Linked DNA regions of Rattus norvegicus. The protein of the gene in region 1 interacts with the protein of each later gene in a pairwise test. Links are inferred from orthologs where the notes say so. Each region holds a gene or a part of one and is shown in the gene's direction. Other genes may lie near its edges.

What was found.
Region 2: the proteins of Trip6 (region 1) and Neu4 interact in binary tests that used the Homo sapiens proteins (3 or more experiments, as listed by UniProt). The two-hybrid records come from large-scale screens. The link is inferred for Rattus norvegicus from reciprocal best matches to the Homo sapiens genes TRIP6 and NEU4.
Region 3: the proteins of Trip6 (region 1) and Gse1 interact in binary tests that used the Homo sapiens proteins (3 or more experiments, as listed by UniProt). The link is inferred for Rattus norvegicus from reciprocal best matches to the Homo sapiens genes TRIP6 and GSE1.
Region 4: the proteins of Trip6 (region 1) and Frs3 interact in binary tests that used the Homo sapiens proteins (3 or more experiments, as listed by UniProt). The two-hybrid records come from large-scale screens. The link is inferred for Rattus norvegicus from reciprocal best matches to the Homo sapiens genes TRIP6 and FRS3.

What each region holds. Positions count from the first base shown.
Region 1 is NC_086030.1:25,021,255-25,026,088, forward strand, and holds the start of Trip6 (thyroid receptor-interacting protein 6), read left to right. Parts: upstream 1-1,704; 5' UTR 1,705-1,853; coding exon 1,854-1,962; intron 1,963-2,210; coding exon 2,211-2,338; intron 2,339-2,432; coding exon 2,433-2,558; intron 2,559-2,810; coding exon 2,811-3,194; intron 3,195-3,792; coding exon 3,793-3,886; intron 3,887-3,982; coding exon 3,983-4,152; intron 4,153-4,834. Other genes in the region: Slc12a9 (solute carrier family 12 member 9), read left to right, coding at 94-980. UniProt on the Homo sapiens protein: Relays signals from the cell surface to the nucleus to weaken adherens junction and promote actin cytoskeleton reorganization and cell invasiveness. Involved in lysophosphatidic acid-induced cell adhesion and migration.
Region 2 is NC_086027.1:101,842,740-101,847,378, forward strand, and holds the start of Neu4 (sialidase-4), read left to right. Parts: upstream 1-1,521; 5' UTR 1,522-1,661; exon of another isoform or gene 1,662-3,072; coding exon of another isoform or gene 3,073-3,153; coding exon 3,154-3,354; intron 3,355-3,461; coding exon 3,462-3,717; intron 3,718-4,639. UniProt on the Homo sapiens protein: Exo-alpha-sialidase that catalyzes the hydrolytic cleavage of the terminal sialic acid (N-acetylneuraminic acid, Neu5Ac) of a glycan moiety in the catabolism of glycolipids, glycoproteins and oligosacharides.
Region 3 is NC_086037.1:65,492,707-65,497,709, forward strand, and holds the start of Gse1 (Gse1 coiled-coil protein), read left to right. Parts: upstream 1-1,953; 5' UTR 1,954-2,017; coding exon 2,018-2,024; intron 2,025-5,003.
Region 4 is NC_086027.1:20,791,596-20,796,436, reverse strand, and holds the start of Frs3 (fibroblast growth factor receptor substrate 3), read left to right. Parts: upstream 1-1,614; 5' UTR 1,615-1,708; intron 1,709-1,722; exon of another isoform or gene 1,723-3,330; intron 3,331-3,420; 5' UTR 3,421-3,563; intron 3,564-4,774; 5' UTR 4,775-4,797; coding exon 4,798-4,841. UniProt on the Homo sapiens protein: Adapter protein that links FGF and NGF receptors to downstream signaling pathways. Involved in the activation of MAP kinases. Down-regulates ERK2 signaling by interfering with the phosphorylation and nuclear translocation of ERK2.

The sequences.
Region 1 (4,834 bases):
CTGACCTAAGTGTGAGTGGGCGAGTTTTATGTGGTGTAAACTCAGTCCTCAGCCTGATTTCTGTTCCTTCCTGCCTCCCTTCTCTGCCCCTAGGCGGTATGAAGCCCAACACGTTGGTGCTCGGTTTTTATGATGACGCCCCACCCCAGGACCATTTTCTAACAGACCCAGCCTTCTCTGAGCCTGCAGAGGGCACCAGAGAGGGCGGGTCGCCAGCCCTGAGCACGCTGTTCCCTCCACCTCGGGCTCCTGGGAGCCCCAGGGCTCTCAGTCCCCAGGACTACGTGGCCACCGTGGCAGATGCTCTCAAGATGAACAAGAATGTGGTTCTCGCCCGAGCTTGTGGGGCTTTGCCCCCGGAGCGGCTAAGCCGGGGGTCCGGTAGCAGCGCTCAGCTACATCATGTGGACGTATGGCCCTTGAATCTGTTGAGGCCCCGGGGTGGACCTGGATACGTGGACGTCTGTGGCCTTTTTCTGTTGCAGATGGCTACCATCTTAAGCATGGTGCCTGCCTGGCACAGTGCCCGGCTCCGGATCTTTCTGTGCTTGGGGCCCAGAGAGGCTCCTGGGGCAGCAGAGGGAAGGCTCCGGGCCCTGTTGAGTCAACTCAGGATCCGGGCAGAGGTGCAAGAGGTGGTGTGGGGTGAAGGGGCTGAGGCTGGGGAGCCTGAGGAGGAGGAAGGGGACTTTGTGAATGGTGGTCGAGGAGACGAAGAGGCAGAGGCTCTAGCTTGCAGTGCCAATGCCCTGGTGCGTGCCCAGCAGGGACGAGGCACAGGAGGAGGCCCTGGGGGACCAGAAGGAAGGGATGGAGAGGAGGGACCCACCACAGCCCTTACCTTCCTGTATCTTCCTCGACCTCCTGCTGATCCTGCCCGCTACCCTAGATACCTGGCACTGCTGGAGACCCTAAGCCGTGATCTGGGTCCCACCCTTCTTATTCATGGTGTCACTCCGGTTACCTGTACTGATCTCTGATGCCTGTGCATACAGTGTTGGATAGATAGAGAGGGCCCAGGCCCATTCTCAACAAGGGACGCCCTCCCCCGCCCCCAATGGGCCCTGCCCTTTTGATGATGTTTTAAGGGGACCCTGGTCTCCTTTGGGTGGCGAATGGACATAGTACACTAATTCTAGGTGGCTGCCCCATTGTAGGGGAGGACATTGCGGCCCTGTTCCTGGTCTGCCTACGCTTCCTTCACTGGTGCCTTGACCAGAGGGGCTGGTCTCTTCTGTGACTCTAGGCTACCTCAGTGTCCCCATCCTGGCCACAGACGCACCACCTCCCTCTCCCCGACTTCCTTGGGTGGTGATGTTTGTGTTTTGTTTTATTTTTCTAACTACTGACCATAAATAAAAGACCAAAACACTATGGGCTGGTGGAGCACTGCTGGTGGGTAGATGAGAGGGAGCCGGGTGGGAAGGGAGAGATCTATGAGGGGGTGGAGACTTTCAGAGTCCCGGCCAAGAGGCTGCCACGTGCAGGACTGGGGCAGGGATCTGAGAGAATTGCTGGACCAGAGCCTCTCGGAGAGGCCTGCAGCCCACCCTAGGCTTGGCTCCGGAGGAGGGCGGTCCTCACTTAACAGGAGGGGGCCAGAGAAAGGAAGAATCGTAGAATAAGGCTTGGGGGACCACGTGACCCTCACCAGGAATGTGGTGACGTCAGGGGGCGTGGTCCTCTCCAAAATTGGGGAGGAAGGGAAGAAAAAAAAAGCCAGAAAAAGTTTCTTTGCTGGAGTCCCAAACGGGGCGTGGGGCCGAAAGGGAGGGAAGGGGCTCAAGGGCCCGGCCGCTGGGCTTGTGGGGGTCCTGACCTCTGTCTGGAGTGGAGCAACCCTATTCCAGACCATGTCCGGGCCCACCTGGCTTCCCCCGAAGCAGCCAGAGCCCTCCAGAGTCCCTCAGGGGAGAGCGCTGCCCAGAGGAACCCTGGGTCCGCCAACGGCCCATGGAGCAAGTAAGTGTTCCCCTTTCCCACACCCGGGAGTGGCAGAAGAGCCATTGGCCACTTTCCTTAACCTTTTCTTCCTTGCCTATCTGCTTCCTGCTGTCCCTTCCCCAAGCCAGAGTCCCTTGCTCTTGTGCAAGTTTCCCTAACTCTTGGTCCATCCCCAGACTCCCAGGTACGTGAAGGAGAGCTGCCTGAGAAAGGCGGCTTTAACCAGGGTACCCTTCTCCGCTCTCACCTCCCGTCTCCCCCTTTAGCGCTCCAGCCTCACCCCAGGGTCAACTTTTGCCCCCTCCCACCTGAACAATGTTATCAGCCTCCGGGGGTACCGGAAGATCGGGGGCCTACTTGGGTGGGATCCCATGGAGCAGCCCAGCGCCTGCAGGTGAGAATTGGAGGTGAGGGTAGGATCAAGGTGAGAGAAGGCTAGGTAGGGGTTGTGATCGGTATTTGTTCTTCCTGTTTTGGCTCTGTCTCAGGGGCTCCCTCCAGACCGGGGAGTCATCCACCCTGGAAGTCTGGACGCTGAGATAGATTCGCTCACCAGCATGCTGGCTGATCTGGACGGGAGTCGCAGTCATGCACCTAGGCGACCAGACAGACAGGTGATCTCCTGTGTTCTGTCTCTCCTGTGTCAGCCGATTCTCTTTTGTAGATTCTCAGCCTCAGTCCGCCCTCTTCACTCTCCGCCCACCCTCTTTGCAACTAATAAATAACTGGTTCAAGGAATCATGAACTTCCTTCTTGTTAGGCCTAACCCATGGGAACTTGACAAAAGTCATGGCTCCCGAGATTCCACCTGGCGCGCATGGATCTTGGATCTGGCCTTACTGTTTGTGCATTGTTTGTCTTCCCAGGCTTTTGAGGCTCCTCCACCCCATGCTTACCGTGGAGGCTCCCTGAAACCCAGCGGAGGTGCTGTTCCAGCCCCGATGCTCCCAGCATCTCCCTATGGTGGACCTACTCCAGCCTCTTATGCTACCGCGAGCACTCCAGCTGGTCCTGCTTTCCCTGTTCAAGTGAAGGTGGCTCAACCCGTGAGAGGCTGTGGACTGCCCAGGCGGGGGGCTTCGCAGGCCTCTGGACCTCTTCCAGGCCCCCACTTTCCTCTGACAGGTCGTGGTGAAGTCTGGGGAGCTGGCTATAGGAGCCACCGAGAGCCAGGACCAGGGGTTAAGGAGGGAGCTGCTGGAGTTCATAACCCTGCAGGAGGAGGAAGAAGAGGTGGGCATGAGCCTCAGGTAAGCCAGGGGGTGTGGGCACGGTGGTACCTGGTCATTGTAGGTAACTGGCCGTTGGTTAGGTGGTGTGGAGGCTGAGGGATTAAGATACCGTTTTTAGGAGACGCAGTTCAGTTGGTAGAGAGTTGGTAGAGTCCTTTTTTTTTTTTTTTTTTTTTTTTTTCTTTTTTTCGGAGCTGGGGACCAAACCCAGGGCCTTGCGTTTGCTAGGCAAGCGCTCTACCACTGAGCTAAATCCCCAACCCCGGTAGAGTCCTTTTTTATTATGTAGGAATCCCAAGGTTCTAGACCCAGCACTGTATAAACAAAGCATGGGGGAGGTAGAGGCAGGAGGATCAGTAAATTAAGATATTTGGCTACATAATGAGTCCAAGGCCAGCCTAGGCCATATGAGACACGCTCTTAAAAATAAATATAAGTCAGTTGTGGTTTTAGGGTACTTAGAGGTCAAGGATTACGATGTCCAAAGGGAAGGGGCTTCCTTCCCTTGTCAGCCTGGGAGATATTCTCAGAGGAAATTTCAGGGTTCCTGAGCTTGTGGGTTACTTACGGTGTGTGAGGTCGAAGCAGCACTGCAAAGCCCTGTTTCTCCCTGTAGGGCCCCTTGAGCCAGCCTCCAGAGGAGGAGCTGGAGAGACTGACCAAGAAGTTGGTGCATGACATGAACCACCCGCCCAGTGGGGAGTACTTTGGTGAGCTGACCCGCTGGGTAGGATGGGACGGGGAGGGGACAGTGGATCCGGTGTCCTGGGTCTGTGGAGACTGATCTTGTTCCCCTCTGTCCCCAGGTCGGTGTGGTGGCTGTGGCGACGATGTGGTTGGTGATGGAGCTGGGGTTGTGGCCCTGGACCGTGTCTTCCATACTGGTTGCTTCGTGTGTTCTACCTGTCGGGCCCAGCTCCGAGGCCAGCACTTCTATGCCGTGGAGAGGCGGGCGTATTGTGAGAGCTGCTATGTGGTGAGCGGTTGGGCTGTGAGAGGGTGTTGCCAAATTGGGAGTGTCAAGATTTGACAGGCAGGTTTCTATCCAAGAGAGGGCCAGGTACTCAGCTGGGTGGGCCTGGAAGCTGGAGATTCAAGCTGAGGTACAATGAACTAAGTATGGTGGCTCAGGCCTGTCTGGAGGAGAACATGGGCTACGGAAGCGGGTTGGAAGCCAGCCCAAGGCACAGGTTTCCGAAGATCGATTGATCCATCAACCAAAAGAACACTTTGCGTTTTGTTTCTTGGATTGCCTGTTTGTCGTTTTGAGATAATACGTCGTGTGTCCCAGGCTGGCCTGAAACTCTTAGGTATTTATAGCTAAGGAAGACCTTGGGTATGGGGATTCCAGGTGTGGGCCACCAGATCTGTTCTTTGTGGTGTTAGGAATGGAACCCAGGGCTCTTGCATGCCGGACAAACACTTTACCAACTGAGCTACAACCCCAGATTAAGGAATGAGTTAAATGTGGACACGAGCTGAAGGAGAGGAGGAACAGCTCGTGCTGTCTAAGTGGGTGGCCACCTTCCTTCCTTCCCTCCTTCCCTCCTTCCCTCTTTCCCTCCTTCCTCCCCTCTTTTCCTCCACCTCTCCTTCCCTTTCTCCCTCCTTCCTTCTTTCCTTCCTTTGAGACCGAGTCTCACTACGTAGCCTAGGCT
Region 2 (4,639 bases), on another chromosome or scaffold:
ACACACACACACACACACACACAAATAGAAATAAATCTTTTAAAAACCTTACAAATATAAGTTGAAGATTTACACATATACTTTCAAAACGATCTATCTTAGTATATGATTATGTCTTGTCTCATGTGTATACGCCCACACACAGACATACTCACATACATAATTAGAATAAATCATTAAAAAAAAAATAACGTCTGTTGGAAATAATTTACCTCCTGCTATTCTCGCTAACGCTTTTGTTCTGGTCCGATGTTGTTCTTTTCTCTCCCAAGATGAAGGGTGGCCCCGCTTTTAGAGCCAATTTCTCAGTGAGCTGGATCAGCGCATCACAATTTACCATTATAATGCACATCAGGAGGAGCATTCCTTACGGTCTCCTCATTACCGTCACCTCACTGGAAAAATTGGGACGCCTTCACTGACTTCTTAGTTTGGTTAAAAAGAGTTTATAAAATTCTTTTACATCCATTCATTGGTTAAATTAACTGATTAAATTAAATTAAATTTAATTAAAAACTCATGGGGCTGGAGAGATGGCTCAGTGGTTAAGAGCACTGGCTGCTCTTCCAGAGATTTCTGGGTTCAATTCCCAGCAACCACATGTTGGCTCACAACCATCTGCAATGGAATCTGATGCCCTCTTCTGGTGTGTCTGAAGAGAGCGACAGTGTAGTCACATAAAAATAAATAAATCTTAAAAAAATTCATAAAAGAACTTAACAGTGGGCTCAGAGGGAATCTCTAAGACAATTTTATTAGCGTTTCAGAGAAAACCGCTGACTTCTGACGGTTTCTAGCTGGCCAAGGCCCCAACAAGGGAATCTGACGTCTTTGCTATGAAGCTGACAAGGTCAAACATGGGGTGGCCTATGAGGGTGAGGGGAGGCGAAGACCTGGGCTGGCTTTGGTGCTCTAGGGGTAACAGCTTGCGAAGTCAAGTTGCACCATCTCTGCCAGAGCTGAAAGGCTTCAATTTCCTCTCTGTGACTCTTCACCCAAGAAAGTCTTCATGCGGGGCGGCATGAGCCTGGGCGGAAACGCCGTAATTCCTGGCCAATTCCTGTCCCTGGAACTTACTGAATGGGCCACTTGGGCAGCGGTACGGGGGAGGGGGTCCTGCTCTTTGACTGAGGTCTCCCCAGGACGGCGAGGCTCCATGGAAACCCAGAGCTCTCTCAGAAAAGGATATCTCTAATGGGTGACACCCTGTCCCGTCCGTAAATCTCGGTTTACCCAATGAACAACGGGAGTGACTTGATGGTATCTGGAGCCTCTCTGGGTCCTGCTCTGTTTCCAGGCTGGGGAGTGGGTTCAGGCTCCCAGCTGACTGAATTCACAGTTCTCGTGGTCCTGGACTTTTGGGAAATCATCCAAATATACAGAGAATATCTCTCTTGTGCCTGTTCGGTCTGAGGGGGACACGTGGCTCCCCGCACCTGCTTCTACTTGGGTACAATTGTGCTTTGAGTGCAGAGCTGGGGGGCTTCCAGGAGACAGGAAGCTGCTCAGAAGCCCCAGAGCTAGGAGTGGGTGAGGAAGGCAGTGTGCGTCACGGAGCTCGTGGCCCGGACTGTGGTTGGTAGACTTAGAGGCCCTAAGGCTTGGAGCCAGTGGTGGTCAGCACAGCCCTCCGTGGTCTGCAGAGCCTGCTATTGCTTTACGTGAGTGTCTGTCCTCTTTTTCTCTATCCTGGGTTCCAATCTGAGAAGTCATCCTAGGTTCCTATTGAGAGCTTTGTCCAGGTGGATATGCTAGGATTCCTCCTCTGGGTGTTTGAAACGAGCTTCTTCTATATGGCTCACGGTAGGCTGGTCAGGAATGGCTGGTGTGAGCTGTGTGTCTGGCTATGTCCTGGTTTGGGGTGCCTGGCCGTGAGCACTTTGGCTGGTGGTGGTCTGGCTTAGATGGCTGTGGGCTCTGAGTATTCATGTCCTGCAGGTAAAGCAATCACTGTCTTCCCACCAACCCCACACCCATTGATTCTCACCTTCTGGTCTGCCATGGTGCAAATCAGATAGCAGTCCCTGGCAGATTCAGTTCACGACCCCGACATACTGCCAATAGGTCTTCCTCTGTGGTAGGCTAAGTGGGAAGAAAATATAGTCTGGGAGTGCCTGGCCATCTTTCTGTGGCTTCAGTTCCATGTAGAAGTACTTCCTGGCTGTCCCTCAGTCCAAGGCCCCGCAGATGGGGATGCCTGGGGAAGGGGGTGGCTGTATGGACAAGAAGGGGTGAGGTGATCATAAGCAGGGCTCTGACTGCACAGACTGATTCCCAGGTCATCCTTGGCTTGCGGGTGAGCTTAGGAAGTGGCTGCTGGGGCAGGGTATAGAGTGGGAGACAGGACAGTAGGTGACCATGAGGAGAGAGAGGCCTTTGTCCTTCCTTGATTACTACATCCTCCTGGTTCCAGAATTCTGTCCACAGTCTCCTCCACTTTCTCAGCCCTGCATTGACTCTGCTCTGACCAGGGAGGAAGCCATTTAGGGATAAACCGGGACTTCTCCACTCTTCTGGGCTTTTCGTTTTCTGCTTTTTCATCAACCCCGCCCCCTGGTGCTCTCTCTGGGGGGTATGAGAGCCACTCGGGGGTACACTACTTGGGGGGTGCTGCTCTGCTGTTCATCTCCAAACCCCTAGGCAGCCTAGGGGTTCGGTGGGAGCATCTCCGGTGTCTGAAGCTATTCGCCATGGAGACTTCTGGAGCTCCTTCTGCTTCTATGTGGGTAGGTGCCAGGGCTCATCTGTCCCTGGTGTGTGATGTGCCTCCCCTGGTCTCACATATCACAGTTGTGGACATTGAGCACCTCCCCCCCACTTTTTTTTGTCCGATTTTGTCCACTTGTCTGGACTCTTGGGTAAGTTCTGTGAAGATGAGTGTCCGGGCCACACCAGCTGGCAGGATATGGTTTCTCTGCCCAGCACGAGTCTGGTAAAGGAGCAGCTTGGAAAGAAGGAAGGGGCCAGGTCCATAGACATTTGGGGCGCAGTGGCTGTGAGAGGCCTGGGGATGGGTTGTGAGAAATCTGGGCTGAAGTAGATAGAAAGTGCCATTAACATGGTCAGGTGGGCATGGGGAGTGTCTGTGGCTGTGTGAACTTGTGGAGCTCCTCCCCAACAGGCTCCCTGGTGCCCTGCTTCTACCAGAAGGGCATGGGGCCCGCGCATGTTCCCAAGAGAACCGTGCTCTTCCAGCGGGAAAGGACTGGTCTGACCTACCGGGTGCCTGCGCTGCTCTGCGTGCCTCCCAGGCCTACCCTGCTGGCCTTCGCAGAACAGCGACTTAGCCCTGATGACTCCCATGCCCACCGCCTGGTGCTACGGAGGGGCACGCTGACCAGGGGCTCAGTGCGGGTGAGTGCTAGGTGCTAGGTGCAGAGGAAGCAGCCCAGATCGATCGATATCCCTGGAGACTGAGGTCAGGCTCCAGATGTCTTGACCAGCTGCTTCTCTTCCCTTAGTGGGGCGTTCTGAGTGTACTGGAAACTGCAGTACTGGAGGAGCACAGGTCTATGAATCCTTGCCCCGTGCTGGATGAGCACTCGGGTACCATCTTCCTCTTCTTCATTGCTGTGCGGGGTCACACACCGGAGGCCGTGCAAATCGCCACTGGCAAGAACGCTGCTCGCCTCTGCTGTGTGACCAGCTGTGACGCTGGCCTTACCTGGGGCAGCGTGCGGGATCTCACTGAGGAAGCCATTGGTGCTGCATTGCAGGGTAGGTGACATCTGATGTGTGGGATGGGATGGGTGGGGGGCGGTAGGGGGTCGAGGGGTAGACTGGGTAGGGGCCGGATAGGGGAAAATGGGCGTGGACTCTAGTGGTCTTGGGCTTGTCTCTAACATAGGTTCACCAAGCACTTGGTGAACCATTCTGCCTTTCTTATCCCCAGCTTCCAGCCCCGCCTCCTCTGCGAGCAATGACCTAACATTGTTGGCAGGACTGTCTGGTATTTCCCAAGCACCAGGCTAATAGGTGTTGGCCAGCTTCTTCATACCGCCTGCTGGCAGGGCTAGCAACTTAAGCCCACCAGAGGCTCTCCTGGTCTTGGTCTCTGATGAGGGCTAAATTTATCTTTTATTTCCAAACCCATTTTTTTTTTTTTGCTTCCTCTTCATCCAGCTCTGGTTTCTAGGATTCAGTCTCTTTTTCCACCCCTGCAGTCCCTACTCCCCAGGAACTGTCTACTGCTCTCCCCTATCACCCTGACCCCTGCTGGTTGGCAGTGCCCCTAAGGGTACAGGACTGGGCACGTGAGTGCTACAAAGAGGAATATGGCAGGTTCTGGGAGGGAAACGGGGAAACAGGACTGTCTTAGTTAAAGTTTCTATTACCATGACCAAAAAGCAGGTTGGGGGAGGAAAAGGTTTATTTGGCTTACACTTCCAGATCATAATCCCTCATTGGATGGCATTGGGACCGGAACTCAAGCAGGGCTTGAACCTAGAGGCAGGAGCTGATGCAGAGGCCATGGAGGATGCTGCTTATTGGCTTGCTTTTCATGATTTCCTCAGCCTGCTTTCTTATGGAACCCAGGATCACCAGTCCAAAGATGGCACGACCCATCATGGGCTGGGCCCTCCCCCATTGATCAGTAGTTGAGAAAATGACTTATAGCTGGGTCTCTTGGTAGCATTTT
Region 3 (5,003 bases), on another chromosome or scaffold:
AGAGCCGGGTGTTGTTACCTGGGGAACCTAGCCCGCAGGCAGCGCAGCCAGGTGCGAGCTGCTCATTTACATGTTGTCCCCTCCCCTCCCCCAGCCAGTAATCCAGGTGGGAAAGGGGTTGGACTAGCCCGGGAGGTTTTTCATTTTGTTTTTACGGCTCGAGGCCAGTTGTTTCTTTCTCCTGACACCTCCCAGTCCCCCCTCCCCCTCCTGCGTACGATTCCCAGCGGGTGAAGGCGCCTCCCCCCGCCCCCACTCCCGGGGAGCCGGGTGCATCCCGGAGGTCGCGAGCGTCGTAAACTTGCATAGGCCACGCTGCCGGGGGCGACGCGAACTAACGCGTGGACCAAAGGCCGCTTGGAACGTGTGTAGGGCCAGGGACCCGGTGGCCGCAGGTAGGAGCAGCAACTCAGCCTGCCCTTGCCCGCCCGTTTCCCTTGTCGTTTGTGGTCGGCCAGGGGCTTGTGCAAGACTGGCCCGGCGTGCGCCCCCGCCCCGCGGCATCGGCGGCTTCTGCTGGCGCGGGCCCCGAGCGCTGCCCGCCGCCGGCGTCATCGAGAACAGATGGACGGGGGGTGCTGGCGCCCGCGCTCGCTCCCTGCGCTGTCCCGGCTGGCGCGGGAGGGAGGAAGGCGGGGGAGGCAGCGCGCGCCTGCCGAGCACTGCGCGGGCATGTCCCGGGGCAGGTTTGGGGCTGGCACCGCCGTGGAAAGTTGAAACCCGCAGCGGCGCTGAGGTGCTCCCCCCGGGGAGGTGCAGTGGCCTCCAGGCTCGAAAGTATGAAAGCGGAGGATCATTAGAGAGCAGTGTAGAGAGGGCGGGCGGGGGAGACCCCGGGACCTCGCGACGACCTTGCCATCTCTCTGGCTGCTCCTTGCGCGCTTGGTCCGGCCGAGGGACCCAGCCGGGCTTGTCCTATAACCCCGCGCCTCCCGGGTGGTGGGAAGGGGACGTCCTGGGGACCGGTCGCGTTGGGGGCGGGGACGCTGGGGCCCAGTCCCTCTCCGCGCCGCCTGTGGGTGCCGAAGAATTTCAGGACGCTCCCTGAGTCATCCCGGTGAAGTGCCTGGGTGAGGTAGGGTGGGTGGGGGCATCAAGAATGGGAAGGCGGTGCGCTGGGGCCGGTGGCGCGGTGGGTTGTGCCAGTTTCTGGAGGCGGCGGCAGCGGCCTCGCCTCTGACCGCAACCCCAGCTACTTAATGATGCCCCTGGCGCAGCGGCGCCTCCGTGGACTTAAGCTTCTCGAACATGGGCTCTTTAAAGAACTCGACCCCCCCCCCCCCCGTGTGGCCTTCACAAAAATTTCTTAAAGATGGAGACTTTGCAAAACTTTGGGTCAGAGGCTCGTGGCCCCAGCTCTTAACATTAAATCCTTTAAAGTTGCGGTAATAGATCAGGCATCTTGGAGAGCGAGGGAGGCCAGCGGCCTATATTGTGTAGTCCCCTCCACTCAGCACAAGGAAAGTCCTCCTGAGCGCTGGGTTTATCCCTCCCCTCTCTTAGTGGGTGGCCAGGTGCCAGGCACTGTTCCAGGCGCTTGGGGAGGCGGCTTTGAGGCTCAGATATGGCAGGCGGAGAGGAGTGTTGTAAGCCACTCCTCTCTACTCTTGGGAGATGAGTGGCCCGCGAAGCCTCGAAGAGGTCCCCCTCGACTGTCCAGCCCGGGTCGCCAGGAGCGCGGGGGCGGCACCTACCCGGCGGGCTGTGACCGCGCTGGGTGCTCCGGGCGGTCCGTCGGTGCGCGCGCGTGCGCTTGCGGCTGAAACCCGACACCTCCCGCCGGCTGAGGTCAGGGCGCCGGGAGCGAGCCGGGGCCGGGGAGTGGGCGGCGTTGCGCTTGGGTGTGTCCTCAGCGGCGACAGCAGCAGGTGTTTCTTGGCCCAGGCCCCGGAAGCTCCACCTCCCCGAGCGGCCGAGCCGCCGCCGCACAGCCCCGGGTGAGATAAGCAGTTCAGACAAACCCGGGCGACGGTGGCTCCGGCATGTGTCAGGCGCGGCGGAGCAGCGGGGCCCTGGCATGAAAGGTGAGCGCGCGGGTAGGGGGGTGACGGGGGTTCCCTCGCTCTTCCCCTACCCAAGTTTGTGGGCTCGGGAGGGGCGCCAACGGCCGGTGCCAGGTCCCGCGGGTGCGAGGTACGAGAAGCGCGGGGCGCGCGGCCGACCTGAAGCCACACTCGCGGCTGCGCGCGCGCGCTGGGCGCAGCGAGCTCTGCGACCGCGGAAGTGCGCGGGGAAGTGTGCGGGGGCGGCTCCGGGGCTCGGGGTTGAAGCAAAACTTTGGATGGGGCGGGGGTGCCCAGGCAGGTGGTTGGATCGGTGTGGGGGACGCCTTGCCTGGGATGGCAGTTCAGGGGGCCTCCGCGACCCCGCCCGGCCCTTCCCGCTCCGCCTGGATGCGCCTCCCCGCCCCCCGCGGCCGCGCTGACGGCGAGTGGCCCGCCCGAGTGGAGCCGATTCAATTATATTGCAGCACCAGAGACACCTCGTCGCCCGCCGCCTCTCCGGCAGGCTAATTAAATTCCCTTCTTGGAGGCGGAGCGGGAGCTGGGCTGCCCTCCCCGCTGCCCGCCTCTCCGAGCGCAGGGAGGTGGAGGGGGCCGCTTAGGACTGCGAGGAGCAGGCTAGGGGCCGCAGATCTGGGTATCGGAGCCCGGAGCGAGCGAGGGGCGCCCCCGCGCACCTGCCACTCGTGGTGGGGGTGCCAGCTCGAGTTGGGTCGGTTTGGTGCTTGCAAACCAGCCTTTGTCTCCATGCGTTTAAAGCACACTAAACCCTTGCTAGACCCCTGCAGTGTCTTATCTGTCGCGGTTGGGGCCCACACAGGTTGGGGTTTGAAAACAAAAAGCGGGACCACCAAATGGAGGGGGGGCAAAATACAAGATCCTTTTGTAAAGGGGGCCGGAACAAAAGGCGCAGCCTCACTCTAGGAGGGAGCATCGGGCCTAAGCCGATTTCCAGCAAAGGGGACAAAGGCAGGAGGTCTTGGCTGGGCGCTTGGCAGTGTCTCAGTCTCTTGCCTGAGACTGTTTTACCCCCTCTTCCCTAGGAAGACAGGGCCCCCCCTGGCGAGCAGCCTTCCCTGGGCGTCCGTGTTACTTAAGCTTGGCTACTTAAGTGTTGCTCAGCCTGTGTTTACAGCCGCCCCCACCCGCAGGCGGGGAACCTGAGGCGCAGGCTGTGTCTGACTCAGCCGCTCAGTCGCCCCGCCACAGGTGAGGGGGGCCGGGGCACAGGCTCCGACTGGCAGCGTGTGTCATCTGCTGTGCTGGGTGTCACGCCCCACCGGGTGGACCGGAACAGGGTTGCTGGCAGGCTCACCCGATCGGGTTCTGCTGTGCAGAAGCAGCTTGCTCAACACTTCTCACAGGCACCGGGTCACGCCTGACCACCTCCTGGGGGGTGCCTTGATGGCTTGGTACAAGGTTGGCTTTTGTCGCCTGGTCTGGCAGCAGGAGCGGAGGAGGCTGGGGGAGGGGGGAGGCGCTGGTGAGCAGCCAGCCAGAGACCCGGGGTCAGCCCCGCCTTCGGAAAGGAGGTGGGAGGCCTGTCCTAGCTTTGGGCTCTGTTCTGCCTGCCTTAGGGCAGGTTCTGAACCAGGAAGGCTAGGAGGCCAGATCAGGCCCTGACCTGTTGGGGGCAGTTATTAGGATCCTGACCGGTTAGGGTTGAAAGGGGGTGTATATATATAGTTCCTTTAAACTTAACATTTTAAAATTACTAGGAGCCAAGCCTTGTCAGGCCCCCTAACCTTGGGGATGACCTGGGGCAATTCTGTTTTTAATGGGGTCGGAATGTCAGGAAGGTTCCGAAAAAGCTTGACCCTTTGGAAGCCTCTGTTGCTCTTGGCAGAGCTGGCAGGCAGGCAGGCCTCTGGCTGTGAGTAACTTCCCTGTCTCTCTGGAGGAAGTTGGAAGCTGCAGATCTCAAAGGGCTGTGTGGTTTGCAGAAAGGCAGCCACCTCAGGACTCTGCACCTCTAGCCAGAGGAAGGGGGAAGAAGAGGTCTGCGCCTCTTTGTGGTGGACCAGGGGCCTGCACCTCCTCCAGGCCCTCCATCAGCCCCAGCCCGCTGAGTCCCCAGCTGGCCTTGACCCTTCAGGCAGGTGTGGTCTATTTCCCTGCCGTGGAGGAGGTCTAGCCTTGGCTCCCTGCTGGTTCCCCCCCTCCCCTTCCTAGAGACTCACTGTGTAATAATAGCCAGTTGCCACTTTTCCCCCTTGCCCCCAGGAACCCGCAGGGGCTTGTGGAGTGAGCCAGCAAGGCCGGTTTTTCCTGGCCCCATCTGCAGCCTTGGAATGCCCAGCCTGGGTTACTCCAATGCCTGGTGGGGTTGGATAGGAGCCTTCTGGTGGGGGGAGCACGTTAATTACCCGTGTTGTGGCAACAGCCACAATCCCTCTATGAGGCCTAGCCCACGTCTTTCCCTCTCCCTCCCTCTCCTGGGATCTCGGGTCGAGAGAGCATGTTTAACCTGCAGAGAACCTCGTCTGAGGTGACATTTCAGCCTGGTGGCTGTGCGGCAGACCTGCCGACTCACTTTAATTTCTGCCCCCATGGAGTCTCAGATCTCCTCGGCCTGGCCAAGTGCAGCCCGCCAGTACTGTGCTGGCTTCACTTCCCACGCTGGCCTTTCTCCCCCCGCCCCCAGGCACACAGGCCACAGCCTGGGAGGTGACGCTTCTGAGTGTTCCTGTCAATGAGAATTTATCGAGCGCCTCCTGAACCCAGCCTCGCGTTCGCTCGCTGCTGGGAGGTGTACAGACAGATGAAACGGGAGAGCGTCCAACGGCAGCTCTTGGCGGCTGCCAACGTGCGCTCCGGAGGCCTTTTAATCTGGCTTCTTGCAGCTTCATCTCCCCACAATCTCCTCACACTCCCTCATGCCCCCCACCCCCTCCACCCCAGCCAGATAAAGCTACTTAAACAGCCCTGTCTGGCAAGTCCCTGCCCTTGTGCAGGTTGCCCCCGGGTCTGGACTGCTCCAGGTGACAGCCGCCCCTCCCT
Region 4 (4,841 bases), on another chromosome or scaffold:
TGGGATCACAGTGTCTACTGAAGTAGGGAAAAGAGGGGCCCTGCTCTCACTGAGGTCCCAGGCTAGTGAACAAGAAGAAACACAGTAGCCGGGGAGAACAAGGATGTACACGGATTCTAGGTGAAGGGGTTGGGCTGTGTGGGGTGGGGGTAGCCAAGGCAAACTTATATGTTTATTCGGTGTCTGAGACGATTCTCGAACTGGGATGGAGTCTGACAGCAGGGCTTAGGAGGACTGCCAGTAAATCACTGGGCTTTGGGGATGGCCAGCAGGCTCAGTTTAGAGTACCTTCCAACTCCAAGCACTCCCTCAGTGCCCCTTCCTATACCCAGCGCCACCCTTCCCTATTCCCCGCTCCACACCCACCTGCTTCCTTCCTGTTCTGTCCCTCACACCAGGTTTCCTGTGGAAGGTGGCCAGAATGAACTATCCACATTCAGGGCTAGAAACAGTCCCACCCCTTAGCACTGGTTCAGCTCCATGCAACAAGGTTGTGTGTGGGGTAGGTTCTGGGGCCCCAGAAGACTTGGGACTCTCTTCCAGATTAGTTCTGGTTTGCATGGAACTGTCCAGCAACAAGTATCAGAAAACACACCTCTACCCAACATCCTTCCTGTCCCCTACTCTAATTCACCTCCCGTTACCATTAGACCCCATCTTACTAACGTTCTGGTTTCCTCCCATAGTTCCCTTCCTCTCTCCTTTCAGGTAAGAACAGGCCAAACACTGGCTCCCCAGCCCCTCAGGTGCAACTAGATTCGGGGGGGTCGACCTTCCCCAAACAACACCGGTTCGTGGAAGGATGAGAGGCCCCAGAGGCTGGAGAGCAGTAGACAAGGGAAGGTGTCCCCGAATCAGAGGAAAAGGGGGAGGGGAGTGTAGGCTTTCACAAAGTGGCCTCTAGGCATAGCCCCCAATTCTTCCTAGAACTTGGCCGGTCCACCTGCAAGGCAGAGGCTCAACGTGTGCTTACCGAGTTCTCTTGGGGGTCTCTGTCTAGCTGCAGGTTTACGAGTGGGAATCAAGATTCCGAAAGGGTCTCTGCGTGGCTAAGCGACAACGCTGTACAGCAGAGACCTGCCGTCGGCCACGCCCCCAAGCGGTCCCAACCAGGCAGGTGCTTCAGACCAAGGAAAGCGCTCGTGGGTCTCAGGACAGGAAGGGCACAGGCACCCGTGTACCGCCAAGCTGCGAACTGTCTCTCGGCCCACCCCCGGCTTAAGCCCCGCCCCCTCTGCGGGCCTTTACAGCCCTCCCCTTTGTCCCCAGTGGTCGGTCCCTCACCACTTCCCCTCCTGGATTCCGAGTCTGGTCCAGACTCCTCAGATCCGCTTTGCTATCTTTCGTGATTCTCTTCGGCTTGAGAGATTGCTCCTACCTCTGTCTCCGCCCTATCCCGCCCCGCGCCCCTTCTCCAGACAGGCCACGCCCCTCAGGAGTCCTAGTCACCGGCCCCGAGCGCCCTCTGGCGTCTGCGCATGCTCTCTGTCCCGGACTGCAAAGTCCTCCAAAGGGACCTTCTAGGCTGCGCGCCGGTTGCCCCGGCTGGGGTCGGTCCGCTCGCAGCGTCTCGTTGGTGCAGCCAGCGACCTCCGACCCCGCGGGCGCGGAGCGGGGCGGGGCTGGGAGGCCTTAGCTGCGGGCGGGCGGCGGCTGCTGCAGCGGGACCCGGGAGCGGGGCCCGGCGCCGCCCGGGCCGCGGGGCGATGTGAGTCGGGGCGCAGCGGGGCGGGGACCAGGCGGCTCTACCGAGGCCCGGTCGTGCCGCGCCGCAGTCTCCGTTCCTACCCTAGAAAGCCCTAAGCAGACAGGCTAGCGGCGGACCGGGGGCTGGGGGCGGGGATCCAGGCTCGGAGCGCGGCCGCAACCTCCGCGTTCCGTCTGGGTATCTAGAAAAACCTCCTGTTACCAGTTCTGCCTTTCGCTTCCCAGACCCCACCCTCTTCCCTCCCCCTAGTTGCACCTTCGGGTCTTCGGGATCCCGCAGAACCCCCTCACGCTCCCAATCCTCTGAAACGCCCACAGTCACCTCCTTCTCTGCTCAATGGCCCAAAGGCTTCTGCGGTCCTGAAACCCAGCCTTTGCATGCTTCTTGCAGCCCACCTTCTCACAAGGCTTCGTATACATTTTCAGATCTCATACCTCCATCTGGTGCCTGTACCCAACCCTACCTACCTCAGACATAACCTCCCCCATCCCACCCAATATAATCCCCCTCAATGGACCATCCGATAATGTGTTTAATATTTTAAAGAACAAGTGGGCTGTCAGAAAGATGTAATCCCTCTCCCATCCTGCATCCAGTAGCTCTTGACCTCACACCCCTTCCCAACTCCCTGTTGATAGTTTAAACAAACCCCCATGTTTGGTGGTTTTTTTTTTTTTCCCCCACTACCTACCTTTAGCCTGCGCACACTTCCTTCAGCCTGCTTCCTCCTTCCAAGGAATAAGCCAGACCAAGAGAGGGGTTCTTTTACCTAAGAGTTGTGAGGGGGACCCCGGGAAGTACTGTTTTCCTGGAAAGGGAAGGTGGGATTTCAAGGGTTTTCTTCAGAGTCCTGGTTTGTTGATTCATCTACCTAGGTAGGCCTCAGATAATCTGAAATTTTGCCTCTTGTTATAATTGGACCTTTCTGACCCTAGGAACAGAAAGTCTGTCCCGCTTTCAAATGTGAAGTGCTTTATTTATAACTACTTCTAGAAATTACCTCAACTAGAACTCCCATAGTTGATAGATGTTTCCTCAAAAAAAAAAAAAAAAAACCCAAAACAACAACAACCCCCAGGGGCACGAATAGAGATAGTGGAGGGAGAATGACACCCCCCCCTCCGCCCCGCACCCGATATATCATAACAACAAAACATTCTAAAATGTTGGTTTCCCAAATCATACTGTTATATTGTTCTTCTGAGAAAGAAAGCTTTTTATAGGGATAAAATTCTGTGCAATGGTCAGGTGATGTATTTGGGTTTTGGTTTTGGTTTTGGTTGGGGATTTTTTTGGGGGGGTGGGGGACGGGAAGTTGGGACAGTGTTTTCTGTGTAGCCTTGGCTCTGTGGACCAGGCTAGCCTTGAACTCAGACATCTTCTGCCTCTGCCCTCTGAGTGTTGGAATTAAAATTATGGGTCACCACCTCACAACTAGGTGATGTTCTGAGAGGCTTATATACCGGGATTCAGAGGGCGCTCCATTGAGGGCTGTGAACTGAAGGTACCAGACTCCTCAGAACTCATTGTCTTTGGTCCTAAGTTCCTTTCAGGGCTGAGAATCTGTGGCCTTTTTATCCACAATCTTCTGACCCACTAGAGCCTAGACCAGATAAGTTCAGGTGGGCTACACTGATAACAAGTCTATTTCCTGAAGAGCTGAGGTTGAGAATAGGTCTCCATTAATGTGTGGTCTCTGTCTCCTGTGCTAGGTGAGCCCCAGGTGTGACCCCCAGGGATCCAGGTGAAGTCTCTGCAGACACTCTGCCATGACACCCCACCAAGAACAAGGGGAATAAAGTGGGACCCTTTCCCATGCCCCTCCCACGGTCAGCACCCCGATGGCCTGGGTGAGGTAAGACCTGTGGTTTAGGTACTGGCATTGTAGAGTTTCTCGATGTGGGAGGAATGTAGGGAATAGGCCTCTGTGTGGCTCGGGGTTCTATAGACACAGCAGACATTCCTGGATAAGCCACTGCCTTATTTACTTACTTACTATCTTTATTTTTTGCAGCAAAGTGAACCTCTTAAAACTTCAGGCGGGGGCCTAGAAGCCTTAGAGCCCTTACCTAGCAAGTATGAAGCACTAGGTTAGATCTCCAGCGTTAAAGCCAAAACAACCACAAAACCTCCATTTGGGATCTCTCCACGTATCTCTCATTCCCTTGGATCACAAAGGCCTGAGTGCTGTCCTCTCCTTATTAAGGCAGAAAGCTGTCGGTTGTGACATGTCATTCGATTACCAGTGTCTTGAGGGAAAAGCTAGCTAAGGTCTCTTACCTCTGCTTCTGGCCTCTGGGAAGAAAGTGCAGTCTTTTGTTGTTTTAGCTTTAGAGTGTTGGGAGTCGGCTCCAAGTAAAGAATCTACGCTGAACAGCTACATGCTGGGCTGCAGCATTTTGGGTTTTTCTCAGTGAAGAAATACAGTGTGCACCTTTGCTCCCAATGCCTGGGAAACAGAAGAGTCTCTGTGAGTCCCAGTGTCCAGTCATGAAGTATGTCTTAAGACCACAATGTAGCAACAGCTCACTTGAAGAGAACGTCGGAAATAGTAACTTCTGGTGGATATTGGGGTGGGGGCAAGGGAAGAAAGGGAGAACAAGTTTGGAGCGGAATGGGTAAGGTGAAAACTGAGGAAAGGAGAGGGACAAGATGGTGTCTGGGATGCCCACGTGACCCTGTGTTTGCTGAATCCAGATGAAGACCTCAGGCCAGCACACAACTGAGGCAGCCACTCCCAACACCTCACATCTATCCTGCTCAAGACTCCATCCATATCACTTCACGGGTCAAAATCCTGTGTACTTGTCAGGGGCCAGATTGAACGTTAACCTCTGAGAAGCTTACCATCCTGCCCCCACCTACGGGAATCCTTAACTCATTCTAACTTGAATTAATGTTTATCCCAAGTGTGTTTGGCCATGGATTGAGACAGAATCCCCTCAGGGTGTGTCTGTGTCACACAGCCTGTTGGACAGAGGACGTGCTCACAGTGCAGTATTCTGCACAGAGCAGAGCAGCTTGGCAGGGCTGCTGGTGACCTGTTCATCTCTTGTCTTTCCCCAGGGCTGATAGGCTGCTCTGACACCATGGGGAGCTGCTGTAGCTGCCTGGACAGAGACAGCGTGCCACA